4 linked regions of the Arabidopsis thaliana genome follow. The protein of the gene in region 1 interacts with the protein of each later gene in a pairwise test. Each region holds a gene or a part of one and is shown in the gene's direction. Other genes may lie near its edges.

Region 1 (8,603 bases):
TTCTGTTATTTATTTATTTTTAAATGAGCAAATGAAAAAAAAAAATGAAGACTACATTGAGTAAAATGGACTTAAAACTATGAATAAAATACCAAAAAAAAAAATCAAATTGGATTATCTTCACACAAAAAACCATTGGTTTATCAAAAACCGGTTTTATTCAAGTATATACCGGTTTATTCCTTCGAATATACGTACTTATTCTGCAAAACCAATCAGGTCATTTCGCCGATTAATCTGGCGATAGCAGAATAAGTCCCGCAACAACCGCTTACAATGCCGATTATCACGATTAAAATACAAATTCCAATCTGAAAAATAAAAACTCTTTTCAGTCTCAATTTTCTACGAAGTATTGACAGTAAAAATATATAATCAAAATCGAAGTTTTCAATTATATTCTTACCTGAAAGTTAGTTAATCTACCCTTCATAATGCTGATATAACAGAGACACGGGAATATTAACGCCTGAAAAAGACCAAAACCGAAATCGTCAAGAACTTGTTTTGATCCTTAATTTTTCCGGCAATTATTGAGATTGATTTGTTCTTGGAGAACTTACGATAAGCATTGCGATGAAAGATCCAATCAGAGCCGCCACAGTAGCTGCAATTAACGTTGTTACATTAACGAGTTCGGTCATTGTTTTATACAAAGGGGTTTCTTGTGCAAGAAGTTAGGGTAACTAGAAATTGATAGAGAGAGATAGTTTACCGAAGAATGGAACTGTGAGTGCAACGACCAAAGTGGAGAGAACTAATATGGTTCTAAAGAGCATAGAGACACCTTTGGATCTCATCTTTCTTGATGAAGACGGTATGAGTTCTTCTAGGCTTAGCATTACTGGAGTGATCGTTAAAGCGTATTTCGTCATTGGTGTTACGACCTAATCATACAAATGAGATAGGAATTGAGAGAAAATTATTATGAACAGAATGTGAAGAAGGTCTGAGATTCTTGATTTGGAAGGTTATCTAACCGCTGTCCAGACTGCGATTTTAGATGAGGTGAAATGTGGTGGCATGTTCAGTGTAAATTGGGATTGAATCGCATCACCAAACATCGTGAATCCACAAACCGCTACCGCAATGTAAAATAGAGTGCAAAACGCAAAACTACATAACGCAACAAACAATTATTTTATGAAATGAGAAGTGATGAAAATTAGACCTAGAGGTTTCTTGCGCTATAAGCAAAAGTTGTTTTACCTGATGAGAAGCACCGTAGGAAACTTGGAAGGTTCTTTCATGGATGAGTAAATGTTGGGGAAAACAGAGTGACTCCCGAAACCGAACCCGTAAATTCCGATTGCGACAGGTATGTTAGTTATATCAAGAGCTTGTCCGCTTATGTGAAATCCAACCCCGTCTACTGATCCAGCCCAAAAGAGGCAAAGCGCAAGCAAGATTGAGGAGATGACACCTCCGGCTAAGGAAACAAAACATTTCTTAAATTTAATTAAAGAGTTCAAATCTCAGAGATTGTTGTGTGTGCCAATTACGAGATGAACCTGAGAGATAGGACAATAAGCTGAGGTCTTTGAGCCAGACAGTAGGAAGAACAATAAGAGTCGTGGTAATGGCGAAAACTTGAGTAGAATCTAAAGAAAATCCGTTGATGTATAAGGAGGTATTTGGGAACATTCTTGACAAATTATCACTCATCATGATTATGTATTCCACACAAGATGCCTACAGAAAAAAATTCAAAGTTAGGACCTCAATTTCTTCAATCATGATATGAAACATGAAAGAGAGTTTGGTACTTACGTATAACTCTACGTAGAGAAGTATCTGAAATGTAATTCCAAACCCAAGTTAAGTTAGGATCACAATTCACACACAAACAAAGTTAAGATTGATTATTTGAAAAATAATCTTACAGAGACGAGGATGCGTCCAGTGGTTCCGAATGCAGCTTGACCGATGTCCGGGTAAGTGTGGATTCCAGGGGAGTTCTCGAGACATCTCTTGAGGAGAATGCCGGTGTAGAAAGTGATAATGCCAAAGGAGAAGAGTATGAAAAGCCCTAACCATCCTCCTTCTTTAACTGCGTAAGGCATTGTAAGTAAAGCTACTCCACATAGAACGTTAATTCCTGCAAAAAGAGAATGTTAAGAATCTCAATCTAAATAGAAAAGATAATCGTAAACTCAGTACTCTCGCACTAATGCTATACTAAACGTAAACTCAGTTCATCAATATATATCAGATTTGGTTTCAGTTTGATTATTTGACTAATCTTGGAAAACAGAGAAAACCTAACCAAAACTCAGATTGAACATTCCTAATGCAATTATTACCGTTGAGAACGGATTGAGAGAATGTGCAACTGCGGTTTTCTTGGGGAGTTAAAAGATCCCCTGGGACTGATAGCTGGAGATGAGAAGCAAGAAATGATTTGATGGAGGACACAACAGAGCTTTGGATCTCGTCTTTGTCTATGAGAAGTTGCTGTTTGCTTGGTGAAGAAGTAAACGAACCGAAAACAGAGCTTTGTCGTCTCTGGCGAAATGAAGAGACAAAACTTGTACTAGTCGGAGGTGTAACTCCAGTCAACAAATCCATAGATTGTCTGAAAATATCCCCAAGAACACCAAAATTATTCTCTAAAGAATAATTTCTTCAGATCTCTTACAAAAACAGAGCACTTAAAAAGAAAATGATTTACCGATAACTTCGAGGCCACGGAACGGGAACGTCTTCGGATCTGTTACGAGATAAAGGAGTTGAGGGAACGGAGCTCTCTGTTTGGCTTTCTTCATCTTCCTCATCGAACGTGTGATACAAATCTTCCCTTTCTTGATCGAATGTCTCGTTTTGCTTCATCTACTTTGTTTGTATTCTTCTACTGTGCTCTGTTTCAAAAACCAACAAAAGGTCTAAAAAGAAGAAGAAGAAGATTGAGAAGAAGCAACTAGGGGACGCAACGAAACGTGTTCTGTTTTCAAGTTCTAAATTATTGTCACGTTTCTTTATATTCTTTAATTAGCAGTCTCCTTACCTATGATGATGTCTCCCTGAATTTGTTTTTCCCCATAATTTAAATGTATTAATGAACAAATTCACGATTTTCCCATTATTCCACCAATAAGATAAATTTAATAATGTCCCATTATCCTATCACTACTAAATCTAAGAAACTTCAAGAACAATTCAAAGAATCTTCTACTCTGACGCGTAAGGTTCATTTACAAAAAATTTAGTTTTTATACAATAATACTATTTGCTTGAAAAAATATAAAAACGTTTCTGGCGAGGTTATTTATAAAACACAGAAATAGACACGTAATGAAGATTAGTTGATATGCATGTGATGTAAGAAGCCAATGACAGTTGGGTCATTAATTGGCCATTAAATGTTCATCTCTAATTACTTATGCAGCAGTTAAATTTATTTTTTGTTCGTTTTATTTTGGTAGCTGAGCACCTTCGTCTATAACTGCTTAAAAACTTACAATAATACTCAGACAATTTCTTACAGAACAAGAAAGCAAAGAAACTTACACATAAAAAAGCAATTGTATATATATATATATATATATATATCCACCCATCTCCAAGCAACCATTGATCATTCCAAGCTATCTACTTTTGCAGAGGTATATTGTAGAGAAGAAGAGGAATGAGAAATGGAGCTTTTTACATATATATGAAGAAGACTTATGATTTATCAATCTGGTTAAGCTTTCCGAGTCCATTGCAGTTAGCACAAACGATCTGAGGAAGATCCTTCCGTGCGGCGTTGGCTCTCAGAGTCACTCCTCCTTTCCTCACAAATCCTGCTCCGTCACATTCCGGACACCTAAACCACACACATTTCAGAGCTTAAACTCACAATGTACAATCTCTGATTCAGTTTACTACATCGGCTAAGAGTTTATGTACGTTTTCAAAATCCATAACAGAGGATTTAGTCCGGTTAAGATAATTCGAATGTTGAACCGGACAATAAACTATGATAATCTGCAATTGATCAGTCAAAATTTGGTTTAACGAGCATTAAAACCGGTTTAAGTCACAAGGTAAAAAGATGAGAGTGGTTTACGTGTCTTTGCGTTTGAAGAGGATCGGGAATGCAGTTCCGACGAGTGCAACGGCGATGGCTCCGCCGATTAAGTAGATTGTTCCGTCAGAAGAGACATCACCGACGGCGGCGACAACTACGGAGGAAGAAGATCTCTTGTTTTTGGGAAGAATCACATTGTTCGGTGATGGTGATCCCCACGAAGAAGAATGTTTCAGGAAGTTGGTTGATGACACGAACGTCGTCTGCAATGCCGGTGCGATCGTCATAATTTAGGGTTTTAAGTGACTGATTTCGATTTGGGGGAAGTAATAAGAAGAAGTGATTTGATTTTTATGGAAAGGTTTTGAATTTGGATTTGCTTCGTGACGTGTCACTCTCTCGAAGTGGATAACGTTTTCACTTGGGATTTTTGGGGTTCTTCAGTTTTCTTTTGTGTGTGGATAAGGTAGGCCCCTTCAAGATATTTCGAGTTAACAATTGGGCCTGTTAAGCCCATTATTAAGTTAGCGTGAACATAAGGCCCAAACTATTTGTCATTGTCTCTGACTCTCTGACCTTCGCAGAGTCTTTCTCTTCTTCCGTTGCTTCAATGGCGAAAGACGGACCTAACTGGGACGGTCTGCTTAAGTGGAGTCTCTCTCACTCCGATGGTACTCGACCTACTTGCCAATTAAGGTACGAAGTTTCTTTGTAATTTCAGGTTTTGTTGGTCACTTAGTGGAGCTTATGTTGTTTGTTGGGTTGTTTTAGAAATTTGCGTGGTTCTGCGTCAGTTTCTTATGAGGAATGAATCATGTAGTGGAATTTGACTATTTGATTTGGTATTGTTTGGTAGATGGTTTTTGATGATATGAAATTGTTTGGTTAGACAGTGAGGAGGATCGAAAATGGTTTGCAGAAGCTATGCAATCACAAACGGTAGATGTAGTCAAGCGGTTGAAGGAGATTACACAGGTATTGCAGACACCTCAACAAGTTTTGGAGGCTCATGAAGTGACCCCTCAAGATATTGAAGGTTCAATATGGAGTTCACTATTGTTTTCTTAGCTATTTTCTCTCTTGTTGGTTACTAAGATTTTGAGTTATGATGATTTGGTAGGTTTGTTGGATGAGTTGCAGGAACATGTTGAATCGATTGATATGGCTAATGGTGAGTCTTTTCATACTTTGACCTTGTAACTTTGTTCTATATCTGTCTTTTGATTGCTGGGCTTAACTTGTACTTCTTTGAATGTATGGGCAGATCTTCATTCCGTTGGAGGCTTGGTACCTCTTCTTGGCTACCTCAAAAACTCCAATGCTAATATCCGGGCTAAGTCTGCAGATGTTGTAAGCACAATAGTTGAGAACAATCCTCGGAGTCAAGAATCAGTTATGGAAGCCAATGGTTTAGAGTCCTTGCTTTTAAGGTTTACTTCAGACACCGATATGCATTCTCGAACACAGGCTCTCGGTGCAATATCATGTAAGCTGCTCTGAGTTCTATCCTATATACTTAGATGGTCGAATGCCTTTTTCAAAAACAAAAATGTCTATCGTAAATCTGATGAATGTATTGTGGTAAATTTGGGGTACAGCTTTGATTCGCAATAATAAACCTGGGATCACAGGTTTCCGGATTGCAAATGGTTACTCTGGTTTAAAAGATGCTTTGGAAACTGATAGTGTGAGATTTCAAAGGTAATAATACTCTTCACTTTTCTTCATGCTTGGATTCCTCTGAACTTTGAGAGAACACAAAGTTGTAACCTTTGTTCTGCTGTTGTCTAACTTTCAAAACTTTTGTCATTACTTTCTCATTCTTCAGGAAAGCTTTAAACTTGTTGCATTATCTTCTACAAGAGAATGACTCAGACTCCGATATTGCTATAGAATTCGGGCTTCACCATTTGATGATGCACCTCGTGTCTAGCTTCGATGCTGATGTAAGAGAAGCTGCTCTTCGAGGATTGCTTGAGCTCGTGAAAGCTAGAAAAGACTGTAGTACTTGTGGTTCTAGCATAGTGAAAGGCGATGAGAGACTCAGACAGATTCTAAAAGATCGGATCAAAGCAATCAGCCGGGTCAAAGCAATGAGCTTGTTTATGTCACAAGAAGATCTATCAGCCGCTAAAGAGGAGAGGCAGCTCTTAGATTCACTATGGACCACAATCTTCAACGAACCTTCTTCTCTTTAGAGACAAAGATACAAAGAGACAAAACCGTCTGTGCTTCCTTATATCATGAGTAAGCACTAAAACCGTCTTTTATGTCTTTGGACCCACCAGCTAAAGCTTGTGTCTTTAGAACACTAGTTAAAAGGATGGTAACCACTGTATAATGACCAAATTTTGATTCTATTTTGAGTTCAAATTTTCTCAGTTTCTCATTCAATGACCTAAAAACAGACCGTACAAGTACCAAATCAAGCTACTGCATGATAAACATAACATAAAAATCAGAAGCCTCTCACTTTGGAGGACAGAAAGTGATAACATAACGAGAAGCTCTACACTTATTCAAACTACTAGAATCATCAAACGCATAACTATAAGCTTTAGGACAAATCGCTTTAAACAGATTCGCGAACAGAGTCGGCTTACACGCCTGAGGATTCGCATATTCACCGGTGCAACAATACTTAGCCGATTGCATCGCCAAGCAAGCACTTTTACAACCAACCACTTTCCCATCTCTCTTAACTTCCAAAGCTGATGGACAACAAATGTTCAAATTCACTTCACAAGCCGCAACGCCACATCCAACTCCACCGCCGATTGGTTTCATCGACACCGGAAGATTGAAACCGTCGACGAGACTTACGTCGTAGAAATGAAGCGGAGAGGAAGATGAGCCTAATGTCATTTCTACTACGGTTGCTGGTGGTACACCGCCGGTTCCTTGGCAGTTGATAGAGCCGTCGTTGCAGTCTCCGGTTTGGCATGAGCCTTTACCGTTTTGGTTAAAGGTGCAGCCTTGTCTACCCCAGATTCGACCGGACCATTTATCCGGTACGTCTATGATGGTTTCTTCGCCGCTTCCCATGTGGAATCCGCCGTTTCTTGGTGTGATTTGGCCTCCGCCGCCGAGAATTCCCGGCCAAATGCTCTCCTGGCAGTTATTCACTATTATAAGCTGAGCTCCATCTGCAAAAGAACAAAGTCACTATTATTGAGAGGAATCAAAACGAGAAACAAAACCCATTTCATAAATTATCGAGAAGGAGAAGAGATATCGTACCAGTGAAGGCTGAGATAGTGAGAAAGAGAAGGAATAGAGTTGCAGATTTCGTCATTGTTGTTGATGTTGTTGTTGTTGTGTGGGGATATATCACTTCTAAAGTTTGCTTTTGTGTGTGTTGTGGTTGTTTTCAAGAGAATATTAATAAAGAATATGTTGAGGACGTCGTGGTCGAAGGAAGAAGTGGAAACTTGGGTTGCAAGACTAATATTGGTGTGGTGAAGTGGATTGTTGTATAGGGAACTGCCAAGTGCTAACGTTTTATAAACTGAGACTTTCATGGGATTAGTGGGAAAGAGAAAGATATGGAGGCTTGATCGTGAGCCTTCTTCTATGAAGAATGGGTTAAAGTTGGATTTAAAGAAAAAGAGAAAGATTCATATGTCTCTCAAACGTTTATTATTGGATAAAGATTAACACTCATAGATTTCTTCATCATTGCATTTCTTTAAGGCAAATTTGTTTATACTTTACAATCCATAACTAATTTTCAGACCTAGCTAAAATCTCATTGTCTAACATTTTAATTATTCTTAGAAATTGATTTGATATTTTTGAATATAGTTTTATAATTTTTGTAATAATGTCGTAATGTTACCACCTGAATTCACTGTTTTGAGTCTATATGAAAATTGTAATAAGGAAAATGTTAGAGTGCTTCACTAGAGTTTTGAACTTTTGATTTTATATGTCAGTTTGTTTTTCTTTCAAAAATTATGTTATATGTTATCTATGCGTATATAAACTTCATCACTTGCTAGTAGCCTAGCATGTCCCAACATTTCTTACCTTTGCTATGACCTTTTTCACTTTGTACATCAAATCAGCAGAGAGCATATATGCATTACTTCAATGAGAGGATTTGCTTTGTTTTTAAACAAAGGCTATATTTACACAAAACAAATCATTCTCTTTTTAATGTTCTTATAATATTTTGTTGGTTTTTGAAAGGTAATAATAGAGATCGAAGCCAAGAATGTCACTAGAGTCTATAGACTTGCTTTTAATAACAGGTGGGGAGGTTGAAGGTTTTGGTGGGTAGGTATCTTGCAAGACATACATATAACATATTGATGAGTACTACTTGCTCAATATTACTTCAAGCTGAAGCAAAATAACATATGAAACCAAATTGAGATAACACTTCAAATCATATTGCAAATGTAAAGAGTGAATTTGCACAATGATTTACAAAGTGAACATATACAACAATGGATTATAAGTTCTTTAAAAACCACAACAACAAAAAAAAAAAAAAAAAAAAAAAAAAAATTCTAGAGGAACTTTTGGGTCAATTTTTGGTTTATTTGGTTATCACAAAACCAAGCCAATTATACCGATTTTTCCAAACCAA
Region 2 (7,399 bases), on another chromosome or scaffold:
CGTCGAGCTCAGTAACGTGGGCTTGTGACCCGTGTGGGGACAATAAGTTGGTGGAACACTGGCTCGGCCCACGGGTCGGATCTGTTGTGGCATTGTTCCGGGCTGCCCAGTCCAAGCTGAGAGTGATCCGTGTGTGTTAAGCGAAGGCTTGGCTCAGGCGGTTCTTGCAGTGGAGGGCAATGCGTGAGGCTGGTTTCACAGAGCAGCGATCACCTCCCGCTCTCAGCAGTGGACGGATCACAGCTCGACGCCACTCAGATTCACCATGGCCTGCTGGCTCGTTCCCAGCTGGACCACCAATTTTTTATTTTCTTTTTGACAATTGTATTTATGGATGGGCCTGAGAGTAATGAATATAGACTTCTATTCGGCGATTGGGCCCAAATTCTTTATCTCAATCTTCAACATTGGTGAGTTGTGCCAACTCAGACGGGGTTATTAATTTGTGTTATGCACATTACTTTAATCCAAAGAATACAGTTTTGCTAAACCCACCACATGCGTATGTTTTAGTTAGTGGTGATCCTGAGAAGAAACAGACGATATAAGAAGGTGAATTATTGAACAAAAGTTATACCATATTATAGTACAATGATGTTGACTTTGAATACAAATTGGTAACCGAATTACTTTGACTCACTTTCACCACTTTGTATTGTTTTTCCTTTCAAGTTTTTATAAAGAGAGATTTGGCATTTTAATAACATCCTCACCTAATAGATTTGGTTTACCGAAATGGGGAAGAAGGAAATAGTCTATTTGGTTTACCGAAATGGGGAAGAAGGAAATATTAAATTAGTGTGTCCTATAAGTCAATTCTCCTGTTCATTTCTAATCTATTATCTAATCCTTGCAATTTGCTGATAAAACAATAGTAATTACAAAAAGTCTTACCCCTTTTGAGTTTAAAGAAACCAAAAGTTTGGAATAAAATAACAAATATGGATATAAGAGGACTTATGTGCCTATGTGGTGTTGAGAATCCGATTAAAGATGTGAAAACAAACAAAAAATTAACATGTAATTCTCTGCCTTAATCATCAATAACAGTAATGGTTTTTACTTTTTTTTTTTTATTACAATTAATGTTTGAATAATCCGGTTGAATGATATCGTTAATCCGCTTACATTAATTTCCGATGATTGTTGTTACAAAGAAATAAATAGAAACTGGAAGCATCATCATAAAAATAAACAATAAATAGTGGACCGACCCCATGAAAAAATAATGAGGACAGAAATAAAAGGAAACCAAGTCTGAAACACAATGATTGATTAATCACTTATAAGGCCTAAACTCACTTTTCCTAGTTTTGCCCTTCTTTTAGCTCATCAACAGAGAGAGAGATAGATCCATGGAGGGTCTTCAAAGATCAACAATCTCTTTCCGCCGTCAGGGATCTTCCGGTATAGTGTTTGACGATCGTCTCATCGCCGAACTCAACAAATCGGGAAACAACGAGCAGAAAGACGAAAGTCAACGCGACGAACAACCTAAGCCTATGTCGGAAAGCTCTGAACAGGTCAAACCAATCGATGAGAAAGACAAGCTTAGACCGATTAAAACCGGTGGAGGAGCACCAGGAGGAATAGAGAGGAGTCGATCTAACGGTGGAGGAGCTCAACGACATCATAGAACAACCGGAAGAGTTTCTCCGGCAGTGGACCCGCCGTCTCCGAGAATTTCGTCATGCGGTTGTTGCTCTGCGTTTGGAAAGAATCCGCCGGGGAAGAAAGTTAATCCGAGGAAAAGGCCGCCGAAACGTAGATCGAGGTAGGCGTCAGGATTAATAATATTCATGAGGAAAAAATAGTATACACTGTCTTTCATCTTTCTTCTTCTTCTTTTTTGTATGTGTGTGTTCTTTGTTATAAAAAACTTTAAATTTGATTTTTCGATTTGATCAACAGACTCTGGTTATTTGTAAATTATCTGTCTTTCTTTGTTTTCGGACAATTTCCCATTTCTGTACAAAATCAAACTTTCCGATTTGGTGATTCTTCTTCCTTCTTGGCGAATTATCTGATTAAGTGATTTCAGTATAAAACATTTTGAGAAAAATCAAACAACGTTCAAGTCCCTTCCGATGGCTCACTGACTAATCCTCTAGGGTTTCGAATCTGGCAGAGAAGGCGGCGGATCGTGACCAAGAAAAGATAAATCAATCTGCTTTGATTGGAATTAGACGGCTCTGATGTGATGTTTTGATTTAATATTAATATTCGTATCTCAAATTATATACTTACTGGACCCGCCGAGGGGGAGGGCCGTTTCACCGCCGCATTAAACGGCTACGACACCGTGTCTTGTCCGGAGTAAGCATAACATCACATTACCATTTGTAGAATAGCTGTCTTTAATTGTACTAATATCTTCTGTCTTCAAGTTATAATATTTTATTAAATGAAAATCTTTCAATCCATTACCAAACCCGAAAAAAGAACCCTCTTTCCGACAAAGTTTCATCTTTGAAATTATTTGAGTCAAGCTCAATCTAGAAGAGTTTTAGTAAAGAATCAAAACAGAAGATTACAACTTTTGTTGAAGAATCTGTCATTGAGGTCCGAGCTTAGGGCAGCCCTCAGCTAAAGGCAAGTCCAAGTTGTCGACTGTCCTAAAAGTGCGTGGTACCATCTTATCAACGTAAAGATTACCATCCAAATGATCACACTCATGTTGCAAAATCCTAGCTTGCCAACCTGAAGCATTCACTTCAATCCTCTTTCCTTGACGATCGTAGCCCGTCACTACCACCTCAAGGTATCTCTCCACCGCAGCTCTGAATCCATCAACACTCAAGCATCCTTCAAAGAAAAGAGCTTTCTTGTTGCTTCTCTCCTTGAGAACCGGATTCACCATCACCTAACCAAAACCCCCAAACTTCAACATTTTTGTTCTAATCGAAAATTGTAACAACTCTTAAGCACTCTGATTCTATTATTTACCATGAGATCAAAATGACGTCTTTCTTGAGCAAGAATCTCTTCCTTTGGTGCGTAACTTATATACTCTTTTGTATCTTCCAATACAATAATCTGCATCATTCACCATGAAACACTAATTCAATCATTTGCTTCGAAATGGGTGAAACTAGGAAAAGCATTTATAGACTTACCCTTAAGGGAACACCAATTTGAGGAGCAGCGAGGCCAACTCCAGGAGCCAATCTCATAACTTTAATCATATCATCAATTATCTTCTGAATACGCTCCGACCCGATTTCTCCCGGGTCAACTTCTCGGGCCTTCTCGTGCAGAACCGGGTCACCAGATGCCACTATCTCCGGTAAATCCACTTTCTTTTTCTTCTCACCAAGACCCAATAACCAACCGGCTTTTGTCGACAAAGAGGAGGAAGAAGAAGTAGGCAAATTATACAGCTTACGGTTCAGTAAGTGTGAGGAACCGGGTCTTGAAACGGGGAATCGGATCGAGCGACATGTCACGGCGGCGGAAACCGGAAGTAGACGAAGTGAGACTCTGAAAAGGGTTTCCATGGCCGTCGCTTCGTCTCGGTGGAGTCCCATCGGTCGTCATTTCTTGAAATACGACTCCTTGGGCCTAAAATCGCTCTTTCAGCCTATTATCTTAATAGCCCAATAGAAATGAGATAGTTCTGCTCTTCCTTGGGCCTAATACATAATTGTTTTTCTTTTTGACAACACAGGGATTCTCTATAGAGATAATGTTGTCATAAAACATAATAATTTTGAGTTTGATTAGTTTCCAATATCTGTCCAATACGATTGTGATATTCCTTAGGTAATCTATTACCGTTGCACAAAAAGAAAAGATAATCTATTACATGCATTAACTACCAAAACACTCTTTAATCGTGTGATTATAAATATGCGTTAGTGATGTTATCCGGAGCAATCCACCACCACAGGCCAACTACGTAATAACAAAAATAAATTTAAAAACTGTAATAGATAAATCAAATTTGAATTACCAAATAACATCCTAAACTAGTGGGTTCAAAATCATTAATTTTTATGTTTGGTTATGGCCAATAACGGTTCATAATTAATCAAATTGTAACTCTACCATGTACGTTTGCTTTGAAGCTTCTTATTTTATTTTATTTTGATAATCGCATTATTCTTCGATCACGGCAAATGAATTTTGAACCAATATTCTCTATACATTTTAATAAAAAAAGTATGTGTATCAATATATCATACATGATTCAACGAATCTGCCGAAAACTAATTAGTTCGGTTTAGAGTTAGGTACTTAGGTTATAAGCTAACTTAAGCCACATAATCTCTTTTATTTTATTGTTCTTCTTGGTAAAGAAGAAGCGGTACCGGTTACCGGAGCGGCGACAATGGGAATAGTGGGCGGTGAGTTAACGAGTTCAATCTCCAATGCTTAAGCCGTAATTCGTGTGGTATATAAAAACAACAAAGCCAATTGTTTTGGTTAGTGACGAATGGTCAAATTATATATAACTTTCTAGAATCTTGCATCCTTGTTTCTCCAAATTAACAAATTCAAATTTAATATGTAGTTAGGCAACCTCTTTTACATTTCTTTCAAGCAGAATCTTAGATTTGATGCTATGTTATTCCAATAGTTAATAGAGGATTAACGTATATTTTATTTTTTCTTAAAAAAGAAATATATAAATTATAAAGTAGAGAGTAGAGACGGTGCTTTGTAGATCATTCCTCTCTGACTATGGATGGGTCTCGTATATAACGTTTTTTGTTATTGTTAATAAGTCGCGTGTATAACTTGAGATTCAAGATTCCATTTCTTTTTATTCCTTCAACATTCAACTATGGTTTACGTAAAGAGAAATAAGTCTTCTCCTTTCCTATATGTCTAACTACAGTTTTTTATTAAAAAAAAATAAAAAAAAAAATGAAAATCCCCTATAAATACATAGGTCTCGAGCATCTCCAAAATATAACAATTCACCCTCTCTCCAAAATCAATTAAGGAAACACAAGCACTGTTACACACACATCTCTACCATGAACAACAACAAGAACATGAAGATGATGATGAGTTCCGCAAAAGAAAGTGGTAATGGTACCACTAATATTGTTATTAAAGAGACGATGAATAAGAAGGTGGAAAGGAAGGCATCGATGGACGTGGACAAGAGCGCAGAAGCTTTCATCACAAAGTTCAGAAATCAGCTTCTTCTCCAGCGTCTTGAATCCATTGAAAACATGCTCTCCAAAGGCCCTTAACACTACTTATCAATATACACATGTATTATTTCTTTCTTGTATATATAGTACTGTTATATCTCATGGGATTCCAACGTATGGAAGAATGATTTATGGCTTTCATATATTACTTTAGATCTTCTTTCTTTTAGATGTGGAACTCTATTTCTTGGTATTTATATTACAATATAAGAAATGTAAGGTGTGCCTTAGCAATACAATCTGTATCAACTTTTTCTATTTGGATCAAATTTTTGCAATAGACTTTCTCAATTGAAATTGTGACTTCTAAACAAAAGGGGAATGCGAGAGCCAAACATGTATTGGATGCCTCTACGAACTAGCTTGGAATCTCTTTACAAGCCTTTTTGTTGTTAGACCGTTCAATGTAGATATGAGATTCGTAACATATACGTTAACTTCGAGGGTCTAGAATGCATTTCTTGAGAGAGTGAATAGTCTAGTCTCTTTAGTTGCATTGCACAAAAGAGTTAAATCGAACCAAATACATTAACCAATATACATATATGTAAAACATGATTTCCCTTGATTATATTATATAAGCTTGTGGAGCAAAGAGAATGGTCATTTCCTCGAAGGGAATCACATTCGCTGATTCACATCGGTCTCTTATTGTATATTACACCCAAAACCAAGCACACCAATACACAAACACACACAATATAAAGAAGAAGTGAGCTGTTTATAATTAAGGGTAGACCACTTGGTGGATCTGAGTCTGCGGTTGTGGCTGCACCATCTGGTGGAGTTTGACTCTTGAGCAGGACCGAGCCATTTCTCCTACGAGGGGGACTACGGGGAGGCTATCGCAGTTGCAAATCTCGATCATGAAGCCATCAGGGTCATGGAAGAAGAGCTGGTCCACTTGGATCCCTCCTTCTTCTACTAATGCCCTTACATAATCTATCCCCATTTCCTCCAGCTTCTTCTCCACTACTCCCATACTCTCACACTGCATTTCCATAATTCACAACTCTTATTATTCAGACCAAAATTTCTACTATAATCTTATGTATGCTCAAAAAACAGAGTAACAACTATATACTTGGGATCTCCTCTTGTTAATTGTCTCACAAATTCTTCACACACATACCAAACACAAGATGTTTTGATGCTTAAAACCAAGTGGTTTGTTGTATAATCCTAACTAACATTTCTATTACACAACTATAAAAGTTGAGGATGTTTTGATTCATAAAACAAAATTGTTTGTTGTCAATAATGGAACAATGAATACTTCTGACTCACAAAACTTGACCTCTGAAAACCCCACCTTCTATTGTCCTTTTTTTCTCTCCCTTCTTAACTTATCTCTTGTCATTTTCTCTAGGATATTTTTGTTCTCTCATAAATTCAGTTTCTTTCATTCAATAGTTATCATAAGCCAATTCAAACTATACTAACAAATTCTATCCTAAGGGTCATTTACTTAGGAAACTAACAAATTTTGGATTTTCTTCCTTAATAATAAATAATTCTGAGATTGTGTTTTGCACAAAAGGTTCATAAATATAGAAAAATATCCTAAGACAACATCTAAATACAGAGCTTGTATGAACGTAGATTATGGTTTATGGCTTTAAAAAGCACAAAAGTTTTATTGAAAAAAACAAAAAACAGGGCAAAACTGAGAATTAACACACACGAAAAATTACCTGGAAAGAGATGTGATTATCCTTGGGATTAATCGCAGTTTTCTTGGGAAGTTTCTCTGGTTCTGGGGCACACAGGAGGTGTATTCCAATCCCGTGACCAAACAACCTAGACCCCCCCAAAAAAAAGAACATGTAAAAAAACTAAACTCATTGGTACTTTTTTTGTCCCTCAAAATTCAGATATATTTTAAATAAAATGATGATAAATTACCAAGCGCCTTCAAAATTTAAGGATTCAGGTCTTCGTATCGGGATGAACCCTAACACCTTTTGGTAAAAATTCATAGATTCGTCGACGGATCGGCACAAGACAGAGACATGGTTCAGTGACGTGAGATGCAAAGGGTTTCCTGCGTCTTCCTTCATTTTCCAGAGACAAAGATCCTAAAGAAACAATTATATTAAAAAAAAGTAACGCCGCCTTTGATTAACAATCCAAAAACAATGACGTCCACGTTAATTCAAGCGAGAATGATTGTAATAGTTGCAGGACGTTATTACATGTATGATCTTTATATATAGTTTTGTGTTGTGTAGAAA
Region 3 (8,654 bases), on another chromosome or scaffold:
TATTAATTTATAGAGAGAATTTCCTATTTTAATAACTTTTTTAAAAAAATATACAATTTATTTATTATAGAAAATATCTTTCTAGAATCAGTTACAAGTAAAAGATAGTATCATGTACAGAAACAACACCAAAATTTTTTGATACAGTAAAATATTAGAACTAAATTTCAAATAAAAATAAATACAAATTTAAGTAAAAGAATATTAGAAATATATTTCAAAGAACTTTTTTACTTATAAATATATAATGTATATATTTAGTTGATACAATTATGTAATTATTATTCTTAAGGCAAGTGAGTTGGGAGATAAAGTGTCTTCGTTACCTAAAGGTAAAACTCCGTCACTTTTATTGCCTTCAATTCCTTATATTCGTGGAAAGAATTGGCCGATCATTCCTAATTAAGCAGCAACAGGCAACAGCGTTAGTGGATATGGTTGACGATTGTTGTTTTTTTTCTTCTTGTTTTTGACATCACTCTACGCTCTGTTTTACACTATGATGCTCTGTTTGATTGTTTTCTTTAATTGGTGAGTTTCAATTTAGACAATTTTCTAATCTTTTTTTTTTTACTATGAAAAATGAAAATTATATAGTAGATCCAGCAAAGTCAAAACTTATTGAATTATTGATGTTTAAATATCATCAATTGTTTTCAATCTATAAATTTGAGAATAGAGTAGTAGTAATCTTTTAATTCTTTAGTGTAACTTTTTTTTTCTGTTGTCAATTTTCTATATATTTGGCTTTTTCTTTGTTTCTATTAGTTTATAAGAAAACTAAAATTAGTGTATTTTATTTATTAATTTATAATGTGTATATATATCTATTTACAAATACCAATTGACGTCCAAAATTACTATTTAATATTCTGAATAGAATTTTTACTAAACACATAACATTCTTTCTGACCAAAAAAAATAATAATTCTTCTTTGAAACTTTGAATCTTTTTTTTTAATAATAAAATATTAATAAGAAATGAACAAAGCACGAAAATTATAGACACAAATACAACAAGTACAGAAGCTTATAAATATGAGAAATTCCTAAAAATAGCACTAAAACAAGGGAATAGAATATTATAGTATCTAGTGTTAGTGTGTTCATGTCCTAGTCTTTTAACTCAATAGAAGTATTGAAAGATTAAATATTCAATGATTGTTTTTTTGTTTCTTTTTGTTTGAAGAACTCATTGATTGGTTTTACTTTTACTGTTTTACATAAGACCAGAAACAAATAAAGTGATCATATGATTCAGTTAACAAATTGAATGTGAATTATCCACAATCTGTCCCCGGTCCAATCACAACGAGTTTTCATAACGTAGGTAAACCAAACCATTGCTAAATTTGTGACACATAAATTATAGCAAAATATCCACCTTGTTATCTAACATTACTTACATTAAATAAAACAGGTGTCTCATTGGCTAAAAAAAAAACAGGTGTCTCAATGATTAAACAATGAATATTTTCTACTCGAATTTGATTAAACAATATAATCAGCGTTTAGTCTGACCACATCCCATTATAGAAGAAGGTAAACTAGAAACCTTATCAATCCCAGACTCGAACACAATCCCCATTCCCATGAAAAAATGCGATTCAATGTGGCAGTGAAACGACCAAACGCCAGGATTATCCGCTCTAAAACGCAACGCCGTCCAGCCAAACGGTTGAACCGCAACCGTGTTTTTCTTTATCGGGTCGACCCGGTTATACCTTTTCGGATCCTCCGACTCATTAAACTTTCCTTCTCCGTACCCAAGCACCCAAAAATCATGACCGTGTAAATGCCACGGGTGCGTTTCACTGTTGTTTGCGTTCATTGTATTCGCGTTTTGTAAAATCACGTCCACGGTTGAATTGAATCTCAATCTGTAGATTCCATCGCTCGTCGTCGCGTTAGCGTTAAGGGGTTTCGCGAATATGTCGTAATTTCGAGAATCGTAGTTCTCCGGTGCCGTGAAACGCCAGTCAAACGCGTTTGTGAGGTTTTGCTTTAACGCGATTAGGTACGGCGTTTTAGGGTGGTGATAGGAAACGTTGTTGACCGACCAACGTCTGTATCCGTTGACTTCGTTTTGTGTATTCAGAAGCACAATGACTTTGTCAGAATTCTCCGGCAGCGCGTGAATGAATCCTCGACGCGCCTTGATTGCTAGGCTTTGTGCAAGACGGGAGCGCGTGTCGTTCCATTCCGGTACGATATTGGATGATTCCGACGTGGGAGGACGCCGTCGTGGGTGGTTCGGGTAGTAGTTGAGTACAGCGGTTGCCGGTGGAGTTGTCGCCGGACGGCTAACTATGCTTGAGGTGATCCAATAGTTTCGTCGAGGGTTTTGATCTGCCTTGAGAAGTACGGAATAAGTTTCGCCGGAGTATACAAAGAGATTCTTCACCGTGAATGGTTCTACGTAGTGTCCGTCTGCTTCAACAACTGTCAAATTATGTCCCTGTTGTTTAATTTAACCCATCTTCCATTAGAATACGAAAAAGAAAGAAACAGAGAAGACAATGAAAATGATTGGCTTGATTCTCAAGCTAAGTACCTCGATTTGGAAACTGAGAGCAGAGAGAGCCGTCAAGCTACCTATTCGAAGCCTGTATGTCTTTCCGGGAATCACCGTAAGAATAAAACGCGAACAATCAGCGTTTGAGACGTTACATACTCCAGACACTAAGCTTGGAGGAGTGGTTAGGTTGTTTGAGCAGTTGAATCTTCCTCTTCCTTGTATCATAAGCGACTGATAATATATCCAAATAAGAATCATCCATAAACATAAAATTTGATCGATCAAACAAGAATCTGACTTTTGAGTGATGGAAAAAAGAACTCACTTGTGGCTCACCGACCCACTTGAAGGGTATGGATGCTAAACCGGTGGCTTTCTCTGACATACTTTTGTGATACCAATCAGTTAACAAAAAGTTCCGGTCATAATCGTATGTAAACGGTTCGGGCTCTGTGGCCGGAGGAGAAACTTGAATCATTCCGATTAATCCAGACTCTCTCTGCATCCCATAGTGTGAATGATACATGTATGTACCAGGCTACAAACAAATTTCAAAACTTAACATAAAAACATAAAGAAAGATTGAAACTTTAATGTGAGTTTTATAACTCTTTACCCTATCAACGACAAATTGGTAAATGAAGACTTCTCCAGGAAGAATTGGACATTGAGTAACACCTTCTACTCCATCGAACCATGGAGTCCCAATCTGAAACATATATAAATCAATCTTTTTCAGTCATTCACCGAGTGCTTACGAGGATGTTTACGTACCTGTCGGATTCCATGCCAATGGACAGCGACATTTTCAGTCATGAAGCTATTCTTGAGCTCGACAACGATGGTGTCACCTTGTTGAGCTTTAATGGTGGGACCTGGAAACTTACCATTGATTGTGATTACTAGCTTCTCGAAACAATCCGGTGACTTGAACTCGTACTTCACTTCCCATTTGAATCTCCGGATCTTTCCCTGACAGAGGACGGAAGAAAAAAACAGGGCAATGAAACAGAGGACCATAAGATTGAAGACATGGACTGTGTCTGATGATCTCTTCGGTCTCATCATTTTTCCAATCGTGTCTCCAAGAATCAAAGAAGATAAGAAGCTGAGATTTCAATATATAGTTCGAGATTAATCAATTCATATATACATAACGATAGATCATTGCATGTCATGTGTTTACAGATAACTCATTTGTCTTTTGGAGAAAAACTGGAGAGAAAACGCGTTTCACTTTTCTACGATTTAGTGATAATTTCTAATAATAATACATCGACTTTTATTAGCAAAGTAAAATTGTAGTATATGATTCTGTGTACCTCATGTGTTTTGTAAGTCATAAAAGTCAAGTATGTTCGATGCTTCTACACTGCTTTTCCTTTTTCCGTAGTAAAACCACATTATATTTTGATGTTTGATTGTAAGATTTTTAAAGCCTAAACTATTGTTAAAACAAAATACTTAATCAAATCATTAAATGAATAATAGGTTTTACGGTTTGAACTAGCTAGTTAGTCACTCATTTCATTTTTTAAAAATCTCGAATTTAAATACCTACAATAGAAAATTGAATAATTTACATGTTCATACCCCTTATCCGAAAAAAATATGGGGTTAGGTCTGAAATTCTTTAGTTAATTAAAAAGACTTACTTATTGCAGTACATTCCACATAGACTTTTAATTTGGTCAAGTCTTAGCTCAGGGTCAATGGTAAGAATCGAGAAAAAATCTCTTGGACCAAGTCAGAGCTTAATTTTTTTTGGTCGTTATATTAAATATCTACGTAAAAATCAATGATGTAACATGTAACATGGGGAAAATAATATTATCAGTATGTAACAATATTATAACATGGTATTTATTACCATTACTCCACCATTTAAGTAACTCCTTTCGTTACACGAAGAAAAGTCATAAGACAAAAAATCAACATTGATCAATCGATCCGAGACAAGTTAATTGTAATTTTGGATTTAATTATTGTTTCATTTCTAGTGAATTAAAAAATAAAATATATGAAATCCAAAGTTTGGATTCTCCTCCAATTTTAGTATTTGATCTAATTATTTTTGATCTAATTATAAAAAAATCTTAATAAACCGCCTAAAATCATAATCATATCAAATGTTTTTTTTTAATAAAAAATAATCTAAATTTTTATGCCAAAAAGAAGAATTTAGCGTAATGGTATCTATTGGAAAGACGACCCAAATCCAAAGACCAAACCAGGTTACTTCCACAATGTTCACGGAGTCATCTCCAGCAATGGATCCGGATTTACCCGAATCCGAAACCCGACCCGAATTCAATCCCTCCTCCACTGATTCCACCGCCATGGCAGAGTCAACCGATGCAGGGGAACCGACGGCATTCGAATTAGCCTCATCCCAAGTCACATCCGTCGCCGATCTACCACCGGAACGATTCAATTCGCTCGACGAATTAACACACGATCTCGGCTCGCTCCACGAGCTTTCGACCCGTGGCTCATGGCAAGCGATCCTCGAGAAGATATCTCAAGCCAGAGCTCTCTTCCTCCTCACAAAGCCTCACGAGCATCTCACTTATCTCACTTACCAAGTTATGGCTCTCGCGAAGCTTCGTCGCTCCGATGAAGCTTCTCATGAGCTTAATTCCTTGCACGATTTCGACGGGACGCATTACAGGTACGAATCGTTCCCTGAGATTTACCCTAATCGGAGAGGATCTATGGTTCCTTTCTCTTTACGATGGCTCTACGCTTTGATCCCGACTAAGCTTGGTAATCGTCAGGAAGGGTTAGATCGTTTATATGTTTTGCTTGACTTTGTTCGAGATCGAATCAGAGAGAAAGAATCTCAGAGTTTAGAGAGTTCTGTGGAATTGTGGAAGAAAAGAGAGACATTTGTGATGAATTGCTTGCTAGGGTTTCATTTAGGTCACAAGGAATTTGGGGTGTCTTTGGATTTGATGAAGGAATTGATCAATCGTGATCCGTTAGACCCGGTTTTGATTTCGAAACTAGGGTCTGTTCAGATGCAGTTTGGTGATGTAGAAGGAGCTAAAACTACGTTTGATAGAGTTGAGAAGATGTTGAATGAAGGAAAGAGCAATGGTTTATTGAACGAGATACAGTTCAACAATCTTGTTGGTAGGAATAAGGCTTTGGTTTATGTTGTGGCAAAGGACTATGTTTCTGCTGTGAGAGAGTATGACAAATGCATTGAAAGGGATAACTCTGATATTATCGCTGTCAACAATAAGGCTCTTTGTTTGATGTACTTGAGAGATCTATCGGATGCGATTAAGGTGATGGAAAGTGCATTGGAGAGAGTGCCAACCGCGGCTTTGAACGAGAGCTTGGTGGTGAATTTGTGTAGTATGTATGAGTTGGCTTATGTTAATCATACTGATGTTAAGCGGACGTTAAACAATTGGATTGCACGTGTTGCTCCTGATGACTTTGATTCATCTTGTACCAGAGTTTGAGGTATTGTCTCTGTTCTTGTTTCATTCTTGAATTTTTCCCTTTTTTAGGTTTTGGCATGTCTAAGAACTGATTGGTGATGTTATGATGACTTCGATAAATTGTGAAGTCTTAAGAATATGAAACAATCTGGTTAGGTAGATAAGAGAGATGATATTCTCTAGCGCCCTAAACTTCTTGTTCTCTGTTTTGGTTTCATATAATTTCCATTGGAGGTATGCAAATTGATCATCTAGCATTCAAAATTGCAGGTTTTCATTCCAAACAAAGGTAATTAGTCAAAGAGTTTATGTCTTCAATGATGAAACAAATCTTGGTGGGTTTGGCCTCAGCTGGAGACTCTGTTGTTGCAATTACCGGCTTCAAATTCGTTGTAGTTTTCTGTTGTGTAAGCTAGCAAATGGTTTGTTGCCCCCAAACACTTGGTAACTTCCTGCATTCGTTTTCTCATATTCATCTTCTTATAACGTTTTTTTGCATTTGCCGTTAACCACTAATGAAGAATGTGTGTTCTTGCAACTCTTCCTATGCACAGAGATTTTGGGTAAATCAAATATTTAAAGCCATGTATTTTGAGTTGAATATTCCCGTTGAGAGGATCATATAAGGATCAATAATTTGGGATATTACCAGTTTTTGAGAGAAATTTTCCCTTTCAGCTTTCAGATTCCTTGTATATCTTTATGACAATATCAAAGGAATCAATTCTCGTAGAACATGAATCTACCAACGAATTCTTTCATATAACAACCCTTTTTTATTGGTTTGGAAAAAGCAAAGTAAAGATTCTTACTTTACCCTACAGAGCAAAATTTTCTCCGCGAAGCTAAATAATCCCCACAGTAACCCTCCAACACAAATCTACGCTTAACTTTTATCACAAGAAAACGCAAACCCCAAATCCACAATATATACACATACCTACTCACAGGATTAACAAACCGAACATAAACCAAAATCTGATATGGCGGTCCAAACATTTCCCAACGAAATCGTCTTCTTCGATCTAGAAACAAACGTACCAAACAAAGCAGGGCAACATTTTCACATACTAGAGTTTGGGGCGATCATCGTATGTCCAAAAAAACTCGAGGAGCTAGAGAGCTTCACAACGCTTATACAACCTAAAGACTTGTCGGTGGTCTCAATAAGGTCGTCTAGGTCAGATGGGATCACCAGGGCTAAGGTTACGAACGCACCAAGTTTTGAAGACGTGGCTGAGAAAATCCATGGTTTGTTGAACGGTAGGATTTGGGCAGGTCATAACATTAGAAGATTTGATTGCGTTAGGATCAAAGAAGCTTTCGCTGAGATCGGTAAAGCTGCGCCTGAACCCTCAGGGATCATTGATTCTTTGGGGTTATTAAGTGACAAGTTTGGCAAAAGAGCTGGTAACATGAAGGTACCATTATCCAAGATTCTTTGTAAGCATTAGAAATCTTAGGAATTTATATATTGAAGGTCATTGTGCACTATTTTGTAGATGGCAAGTTTGGCTGCCTATTTTGGTCTTGGAGTTCAAAAGCACAGGTACCTAATCATATATGTTTGTATCTATTACTGTTACGTTTTCCTTAAGGTGAAATAACGCACATATGTCATATAATTGCAGGAGTCTCGATGATGTTCGAATGAATTTAGAGGTCCTCAAGCATTGTGCAACAGTGCTTTTCTTGGTATGTCGTATACTCATAATTCTTTTTTTTCTTTCAAGATTTTTATTTCAAATATACAAATTAACTCATTTGTATATGTGTTTATATATCACCTAAATATACAGGAATCTACACTTCCCAATCATTTGGAAGGAAAATGGCACACTTCTTCTAAGATTATGACAAGAAGTCGAAGGAATTACCAAATAGCCCAAAGGGCAATGCCTTACTCGAAGGGTAGTCTCGAGAAGGTAATTGTGTTTTTTTCCCCTCTCTTCAAATCATAAAGAATTTAAATTGCCGTTAAATTTTGTCTTTCTTTTAAATGTTTTTGTTTAATACAGATGACACAAAATGTGAAGAATCTGTTAAGCAAAGCTCAAGGCAATCAAACTCTCCAAAGCTTGATCAATCATTCTCATTCTTTGCTTAGATGATTACTGCATCCCTCCTAAATGTTAATTTTTTTATAAATAGTTTGAAGAATGAATTTAATTGTATATAATATTTATACCTTCATTGACTCTATTACCAAATAATTCAATTGATATTGTTTATATTTTGTCACTAACAACTTTTTATCTGATTTTTACCTCAAACTTTTATGAATACATCACATTGGTATTGTTTGTCATCTTTAAATATATTTTCTTTTGTCGTATTATCTACGACTTATTAATATTTCAACGTAATAGTTTTTAATATTTTTGTCGTATTTATTCATTTCTATTTAGTTTTGGATAAGCTCTTGATCTTATTTTATAATTAAATATTTCAACGTAAAAGTTTGTCCAACTTATAATCAGTTGTTTTTAATTTAATTTTGGATAAGTTTCTGATCAAATATTTAATTCTTATTCTGTTTAAATTGGAAACAGTTTATCTGTTATTAATGTGAAACGAAACAATGGATAAACTGTTCCCAATTGACAAAAATAATTGATTACTTTATTAATGTGAAACGAAACAAAGTTTGTCAAAAACAAATATGAAACGAAACAAATAAAATA
Region 4 (8,427 bases), on another chromosome or scaffold:
TCTTATTAATATATGTTAAACTTTTTAAAAGGAAAAAAAAATGTATGTAGAGGATTACAAATTCAATGGATATATTACTCCTTTTGTTTGGAAATTTGAATAAATTAGTAGGCTACAAGTATAAGATAAAGATATCCCCACCACCAAATGTAGCATAAAGAGAAGCTTCATGTCATTGCTATTAATGGCAAATACTATAGACTACAAGTATTAAACACACAACAAACAAAGTATAGACTATAGAATACAAGTCTAATAACTAATAAGTAATAACCCTCATATGTGAGAGATCGATAAACGGATTTCCATTCAATTAAGTGATCTTTTTTTTTTGTTAAGGAAAATCTAATGATCTTAACTTTATAATCTCAATAATTATATAAAAGAAGCAAACCATTTGAAATTTGGGTTTGATTTTTTGTTACAATTTGTATCGAATATATAACAATCGATGGGTTTTATAAAAGTCAATTGAAAAGGTGGTTTGTACAATCTACCAGACTTCCACTGTTCCATACACTTAGGTATAGAAAACAATAATTTTAAAATATATACATATATATATACTTTTAAAATATATATTCATGCTACATAGCCTACATTTAAATGTCAATATATATATATATGCTATATTTTTCTTTTTTCAAATAACATTAAAAATATATATAAATAAGATCTGATGGAAAAAAAAACATCTATTTTGTAAAAAATTATTCTGTTGCTAAATAAACACAATTTTAAGAGAAATTATACGCCTATTTTGTTTTTGTATAAGAGCGAAAAGTCCAAAAAACAAAAAACAAAAAACGAAAACCAAGTGAAAAAAATTCACATGGTCCACAACGACATGAAATGGAACAGTTAGATTTGATTGATTGACTCAACATTTCTCCTTCTTTATTAAGTAACCATTCAAAAACACACTCCACTGGTCATCTTTTCCCTCTCTGTCCCCATGCAGTTTTGTACCTCTGCCACAAGTTACCCCTTGCCGCTAACTTCTTTCAGGGGTAATATCGTCTTTTCACTCCAGGTGTTGTCCACTCACACCAAGAACCAAAGCCATCGTCACTATATTCTCTCTGCCCAACCCTACTGTACTAGTCTCTCCTCTAATTTAGTTATATTGTTGATCACTCACTAGATTTGTTTCCATCTTTCTCATTTAACGATAAATTACTGTATTTGTCTAGATTTTTATAGGAGTGTGGAAATGAGTCGTCAGCTTAAGTTAGTCTAGCTTTTTATGAGTTCCAAATATATGTTTTTAAGGGTCATACATAAAAAGTCTTCCGTTTTATCCTATAGTAGTTTCAAGCAAAAGAAATTGTAAAACATATTTCAAAGAAAATGATTGTAAATCGATTACGTAAACGTAAGAGAATAGGGCCATGGCTCCTACCCATGTAACTAGGTCGGTTCCTTCTTCTCCGGTCCAAAATATCAAGGAAATGGCGGAATCAAAATTTGTTTTAAAGAAAGCGGTGTTGACTGTTGACTAGAAAAGTTATGAGAATAAGTCCATTGCAAATTTTGTAGTGTGTTAAGTGATAATAACCAAAGAAAGGTAATCTAGGAGTGGTGATTCATTTAAAAAAAAATCTATGAGTGGTGAATAATTTCCATCTAAACTTAGGTCAAAGATCATTGATTTGCCACTATGCAAATAAACATTTTTAACAACTAAAGTAATTATACTAATTAATAAGATTTTATATCTTATATATATTTGTTACCATATAACATTTTAACTGTTTTCGGTCAACAAAATAAGAAGTATAAATAAACAAATAACCTCATTCGCCCATAATATTAATAAATACCCCTTAATCTTCATCCGCCAAAAACCTATTCAAAGTCTTACACACAACAATAATGATTTTAAGAGATATACGTAACCTTAGTATTTAGCTTAGTGTTTAACTCAATCTCTATAGACTATAGTAAAAACAAGCTTGCATTATTATTTGTTCCACTGTTATTAGTCAAGCGAAAACATAAATGAAAAGCAAAAAAAGAATATTTATATGACTCCATTCAATTCACTCTTTTATAGCAATGACTACGATAGCCTCTCATCTTCTTTTTTCCTCTCCATCATCTTCTCTTATCAACTTTAGACTCACAAGCCTCCTCTCATCTTCACCATAACCGAAAAACCAAACAAAAAATCCTTAGATAATCAGATCTTGATATTATGGATCATATCATCGGCTTTATGGGCACAACAAACATGTCACATAACACAAACCTTATGATCGCTGCCGCAGCCACTACCACTACGACCTCTTCGTCTTCCTCTTCGTCCTCCGGAGGCTCGGGGACTAACCAGCTAAGCAGGTACGAGAATCAGAAGAGAAGAGATTGGAACACTTTCGGACAGTATCTACGCAATCACCGTCCACCACTTTCTCTCTCCCGTTGCAGTGGTGCTCATGTTCTTGAATTCCTCAGGTACCTCGACCAATTCGGCAAGACTAAGGTATAACATATACACTTACATATGTGTCTATCTATCTCTTACATCAAAATACTCTTTTTGATAATTTTCCATTGATATAGAACCAAATGAATTGAAACCCTATGTCTAATTTGGTTCTTTGACCTAAAGGCTAAAACGTATTTTTGTTATATATAGTTGAGAATTGGATTCTTATTGATCTTCATTAATTAATATAATCTCACTTGGGCTCTATATCTTTCATATATTTTCATCTATCACCGACAAATAGTATTGCAACATGATTCTGAATTTTGTTTATTTAAAAAGTTAACTCCATCGTTATTAGCAAATAAATAAAATATATTGTCTATGATTCTTACTGTGATGATGATATACTATTGTTGTATATACTCAAAAATGTTTTTCATACATTACAAGCACATAATATCTATATAGATTGAAAATGCTGAAGTTAAAACGCCACTTTGATCTTTGTATCTCTAGGTTCACACACACCTATGTCCGTTCTTCGGACACCCAAACCCACCAGCACCATGTGCCTGTCCACTCCGACAAGCGTGGGGTAGTCTGGACGCACTCATTGGCCGTCTTAGAGCTGCTTTTGAAGAGAACGGTGGTTCACCAGAGACGAACCCTTTTGGTGCACGAGCCGTTCGACTCTACCTAAGGGAAGTACGTGACTCGCAGGCTAAAGCACGTGGGATCAGCTATGAAAAAAAGAAGCGCAAGCGACCTCCTCCGCCACTACCACCGGCTCAGCCGGCGATTTCAAGTAGCCCTAATTAACATTAAGTCATGAGTAAGATGTTTCAATGAACTACGTTTGTTTACAAATTTTTATCAATGACGAACATGCACGAGTTCTTTTAAAGTCACATGCCCTTTCCTAAACTTTTATTTGGCAAACCTAAAGAATTCTTATGTTGTATTAAATAAATTTGTAGTTCTTTCTGTTTGGCCTCACATAAGTATAGATTAGTATATATTTTTAATATATACATGTAACATGTTAGACAAGTCATAAGTTTTATCTTATAGACTAGTAAAAGCACTAAACTAATGGCTTTGTTATTTATTTGCAAAATTGAAAGATGGCAAACTTATGATTATGTTGGTTCATTTATCGCATGTATTTATAAAACATTATATAATATTACGTTTTCTCTAAGTGATTCAAGAGTTTATATTTAATACATTCTTGAATCATTTATCCAATTATTTCAAAGAACCTCTATCTCTATATATTGATCAAGTTAAACAAGTACTAATGTTTTGTAGGATACTAAATTTAGGGTTTTTCTTTGCTATTTACGGATCCCAATGCAAGACCGAATGTGAATTAGTTGTAATATAGTATTTAGTTTTTTTTTTTTTTTGTTGTCTTATACTACTTAAGATTATGATGTAAATTCTTCATAATTACCAGCCATTTTAGCAAATAAATCGTAAAGTTGAACTTATTTACAACTCCATACCATTAGCATTAAAAAAAATTCCAAAATAATTCATTTTACTTTAAATTCTTAATTTAAATTGTCAATTACATTATCAAGCAAATTTAATCCAAACAAACTTAAGATCAATCCTTTAAAATTAGCATAAACGTATTTGTTAACAATATTTTAAAACAAAGTTTTTGTTTAAATAAATATTATTCTTACTAAACGTTTTTTGTTTAAATAAATAAATTCTGTATTTGAACTTATTTACAATTTCATGCTACTGGCATTAATTATATAGGAATGAAAATATTTAATTAAAGATTTAAATTTTCTAAATCCTTGCTTTTAGATTTATTATGTCATTACCTAAAAGACAAAAACTATTAATTTTTTAAATATTATTATTTATATTTTAAACTTTTTAAAATATTACTAATATTTAAACTTATAAAAAGTTTAATATATCAAAAAATCTTAACATCATTATATAATATATAGAGTTTCAAAAAATCTCAAATTTTTTTCAGTCATATTTTGTGATTCGAAATTTAAAAAATGAACATATATTAAACAATTGGCGAAAAATGTGTGAGTTCAACGTCCCACATCGATTAAAATATTTAGAGAATGATTTATAAACATATCATAAATAAGATCAACATTAACAAAATAAATGAGTTTTTTTTTTGCGGGACGGGTTTGGCAGGACGTTACTTAATAACAATTGTAAACTATAAAATAAAAATATTTTATAAATATAAACAATTTGCAAATTTTTATATATATTAACTTAAAAAAATAAATTGTTCCGCGGTATACCGCGGGTTACATTGAATATTATTGTAGTTCGATAAGACATGACAAAAGAAGATTTGCAGAATCAAATGGTTGTTCGTGTCTTTTCATGCTCTCTGTGTACGCCTTCCTTTGTAGCGTCTTAATTTGGTAGGGAATTGGCAAATCATTCAGTTTCTTGTCCTTGTTACCAAAAAGTCTTTTCTTTCTTTGTTTATAAAAATATATGTATTATTGCTCCGGTAAATTCTTGATCTCATATATCTTAAAAGGTAAAACAGGTCAATCACTTTGATTTACTCTAAACAACAACTTGAACTCAATATTACCTTTTAATCTTGCTTAAAACCTTAATGTCAAATTCTCTTTTGATTTTTCGACTAATTTGATACATTGATGTTATCTAATTACTAACTTAAGCGTCAAATGTACACGATCATAAGTCAGGGCCGGTCCTAAGCAACATTTATGTTATCTAGTTACTATTTTTTTTTTTCCATTTATCGTTTGAGCAAAGCTGACATGAAATGACAAATGAGACGGTGAGAGCGTGTGATGCGGTCTGACCCGCTTTGGTCCACCAACCAATCTGCAGTGCACCTATGTAACGTTTCCCTTTTAAGTGTTGGTTCCAACATTCGTTAAATGATCATTATTGGTTAACAATTGTTGTTTATCGACATAAGTAGGAGTTTGGTTCTGAAAGTTGTCAAATTGTTGTCTTTTTTTTTTGGTCAAATCAAATTGTTGCCTTAGTACTATAATTTCCATGTGAACTCGTATGTGTTTTGTTTCATTATTCATCATCGTAAATGTTGCATACGACCGGCTCTGACTATTGATCGTGTACATTTGACGCTTAAGTTAGTAATTAGATAGCATCAATATATCAAGTTAGTCGAAAAATCAAAAGAATATTTGACAGTAAGGTTTTAAGCAAGATTAAAAGGTGATATTGAGCTGAAGTTGTTGTTTAGAGGAAATCAAAGTGATTAACCTGTTTACCTCTAAAGCTATATGAGATAAAGAATTAGGCAACAATCTTCCTTCTTTTTATCAAGTCAATAAATTTTTTATTATATAAAGCTTGGTTTTTAAAGTTTAGTAATTTATAAGATTGTGTCACATGTCAACTTTAGTGATCTCATATAATTTTGACATTGATAAACCAAAATATCTTTCTATTAATTTTAAAAATATAAAACATAATTATAAAAATTTATAATTTTAAACAATTTAAAAATGTAAACAAATATTTACAAGGAAACTATACTTATATATCATACGTAAAACAATTTAAAAAATGTAAAATGGATAATTATAAAGAAACAATCTGTATTTTATTATATAAAAACAGAAATTATTATATCATTTACTTATTCTGACTTAAGTTTAAAAAGATTACTTTTTCCTTCAAAATTAAAAAGAGATTTAAGAAATTATACAATTAATTAATAAAATACTACTATAATTAAGGTAATTATACAGTAAAGTATTAATCTTAGAAAAATGGTGAGGTAGCTGAGTATCTTTCGCAACAGTTCTTCTAAGTAGTTAGCAATTTTTTTACCACAAACAAAACTAGTTGTGCCTAAAAAACATTTTTTTCTCCTCCGTTAGATCTTCAGTCCGATCTCTGCCATACCTGTACCTAGCTCAAGATGTGAGAGCCCATTTATTTACAGGCTTTAACCCATTTGTTTAACACAATTGCCGAATCAAATAACTATTGTTTTGTTTTGAGGTCGACTAAAACAAAGTAATTAGTGAGTTACAAAAATAACAGAACTGCACTAAACGACCATAATTTTAAATGGATTAAGTATATGAACTTTTTAGTTTACAGTATACACTAAATGACATAAATTTAGAAAGGACCCATGACTTGTAGTGGTGAGTCTATGTAACACAACTTGAAATTAAATTGGTATATAACATACTGTTCACAGAATTTTTTTGAAGGCTATTCAAACTCTAACAACAACGACATTAAAGATGATATTGTTATGTTATATTAAACTATATATATTTCATCTTGGATTCCATTTAACAAAAGACATGAGTTTAGAAGAAATAATATGAATTTCGAAGGAAGAACATCATATATCTTAATACAAGTTTATAGCCATTATGTTCATGAAGGGTGGATGAGTGAAACTCCATGGAATTTACAAAAATAAAAATTTCATCATTCTACCCTTAAAAGAAAATCTTGTGGATCTACCACTTTGAGAAAGTTAAACTGAAATTATAGGTATGTTTTGGTAGTCGTCTAAAAAACTTGTCCATAATATGTTGTGGTCAATCAAAAGGTGGCCATTAAAATCTACCAAACATATCATTTATGGACTAGTTCTTGGGGGTTTAGCTTTGATGGACAAATTTTAGTGAACAAGTGGTAATATACCAAAACATATTATGGACAAATTTTTGATGAATTAACTAAAAAATACCAATTTTAGTACTATTTTGTAGAAATGGCAGGTCCATAAAATTTTAAAAGAGAAGATAGAATGAGTAAAATATCCTTAGAAAATCTAAGTCTAACAACAACAAAAGTTTCTTAAACAACATCAAAGAAAATTTAGTACAAAAGTTTCTTAAACAACATCAAAGAAAATTTAGAGCCCATGTTCTAGTGGTGATTGAGAATTGAAGAAAGGTTGAAAGGAACTAATCCATGTTTGGTCCACCCTCGAAACAAAAAAAATTATATTTGTGTGAGATGTCTGGGTTTGAGCCAAATACCTAAACATCTTATCTGGTAGTCACTAATATATGATCTGGTCGAAAAATAGTCCAAATTCAGAACAAACAGTGTAGTGGCCCTTTTGAAAAAAATGTACTTTAAAGCACTTCTTTTTTATCTGTGTTAATCGGACCAGCTAATAAGATTAATTTTAAAAAAAAACACAAATTATCATACGAATTTATTCGTGTGTTTTGCAATATATATTTTCGAAAACTTGAGGATACTTGGATCATATATAGAAGCATGACGACGAAAATAACACAATATGTACAATTTGATACAAGAAAATGATAATAAAATTTACAAAACAATTTGCCAAATAACATGTTAGTTAGAGTATAGCACCCATCCAATTAAATAGCTTTTGCAAATGACATAAGTTTCTAAAATATCCACTTAATTAATTTTCTTTTCTTACGTTTTTTACATCCTAACTAACACTAGTATACTCAATTAATTTTTCGTAACATTGGTTACATACCTAACTAACTAGCTCTAGAAAATATATTAAAATCGGGACAAGTCAACCATTAGACATGTGTAAGCTGAACCAAATCGAGTCATTTATTTTCCCAGTAACCCACTCTCACCAAGACCAGAAAAAAAGCGTAGATCCAGAGGCGACAATATTCAAACACACAAAAAGTCATCAATATATATAAATAAATAAAAGAAAATACAATTCCTCTTCATATAATTCATATTTTCATGTTACGAAAACAAAAAAGATCACCGACACATAAAACTAAACCAAATATTTCAATGAAAAATTAATTAACGACTTTGACGCTTTATTTCTCTTTCTCTCTTCACTCTCTCATTATATCTCTTTCGCTGCCGCTTTTGTTACTTTTTGTTCGTTCGAATCCCAATATAGACCAACGAAGAAGAAGACGAAGAAGCAGTCTCTCAAACTTCTTCTCCAGATCCGAATCTCACTCTCATTTCTCCGATCTCTCTATTTGAATGACCTA

What was found.
Region 2: the proteins of Fes1C (region 1) and AT1G15385 interact in a two-hybrid assay, tested with the Arabidopsis thaliana proteins (one large-scale study listed by BioGRID).
Region 3: the proteins of Fes1C (region 1) and AT4G39820 interact in a two-hybrid assay, tested with the Arabidopsis thaliana proteins (one large-scale study listed by BioGRID).
Region 4: the proteins of Fes1C (region 1) and LSH4 interact in a two-hybrid assay, tested with the Arabidopsis thaliana proteins (one large-scale study listed by BioGRID).

Annotation. Positions count from the first base shown.
Region 1 is NC_003076.8:422,085-430,687, reverse strand, and holds Fes1C (Fes1C), read left to right. Parts: upstream 1-4,309; 5' UTR 4,310-4,475; intron 4,476-4,571; exon of another isoform or gene 4,572-4,593; 5' UTR 4,594-4,619; coding exon 4,620-4,705; intron 4,706-4,898; exon of another isoform or gene 4,899-4,902; coding exon 4,903-5,045; intron 5,046-5,129; coding exon 5,130-5,180; intron 5,181-5,273; coding exon 5,274-5,495; intron 5,496-5,607; coding exon 5,608-5,710; intron 5,711-5,837; coding exon 5,838-6,207; downstream 6,208-8,603. Other genes in the region: AT5G02170 (Transmembrane amino acid transporter family protein), read right to left, coding at 216-311, 407-469, 564-607, 716-887, 981-1,116, 1,210-1,429, 1,512-1,692, 1,771-1,794 and 3 more; AT5G02160 (uncharacterized protein), read right to left, coding at 3,664-3,805, 4,049-4,296; AT5G02140 (Pathogenesis-related thaumatin superfamily protein), read right to left, coding at 6,251-6,407, 6,483-7,155, 7,250-7,304.
Region 2 is NC_003070.9:5,290,781-5,298,179, reverse strand, and holds AT1G15385 (cotton fiber protein), read left to right. Parts: upstream 1-4,841; 5' UTR 4,842-4,982; coding exon 4,983-5,204; 3' UTR 5,205-5,468; downstream 5,469-7,399. Other genes in the region: AT1G15400 (uncharacterized protein), read left to right, coding at 1,356-1,774, 2,134-2,161; PDF1A (peptide deformylase 1A), read right to left, coding at 2,555-2,863, 2,947-3,036, 3,117-3,527; GLYI4 (Lactoylglutathione lyase / glyoxalase I family protein), read right to left, coding at 5,893-6,156, 6,860-6,965, 7,071-7,225.
Region 3 is NC_003075.7:18,474,035-18,482,688, reverse strand, and holds AT4G39820 (Tetratricopeptide repeat (TPR)-like superfamily protein), read left to right. Parts: upstream 1-4,628; 5' UTR 4,629-4,707; coding exon 4,708-5,991; 3' UTR 5,992-5,992; intron 5,993-6,240; 3' UTR 6,241-6,731; downstream 6,732-8,654. Other genes in the region: AT4G39830 (Cupredoxin superfamily protein), read right to left, coding at 1,505-2,458, 2,555-2,749, 2,844-3,056, 3,135-3,227, 3,293-3,586; AT4G39810 (Polynucleotidyl transferase, ribonuclease H-like superfamily protein), read left to right, coding at 6,954-7,391, 7,473-7,519, 7,602-7,665, 7,770-7,895, 7,989-8,081.
Region 4 is NC_003074.8:8,324,761-8,333,187, forward strand, and holds LSH4 (LIGHT-DEPENDENT SHORT HYPOCOTYLS-like protein (DUF640)), read left to right. Parts: upstream 1-1,867; 5' UTR 1,868-2,197; coding exon 2,198-2,482; intron 2,483-2,947; coding exon 2,948-3,250; 3' UTR 3,251-3,797; downstream 3,798-8,427. UniProt on the Arabidopsis thaliana protein: Probable transcription regulator that acts as a developmental regulator by promoting cell growth in response to light. May suppress organ differentiation in the boundary region.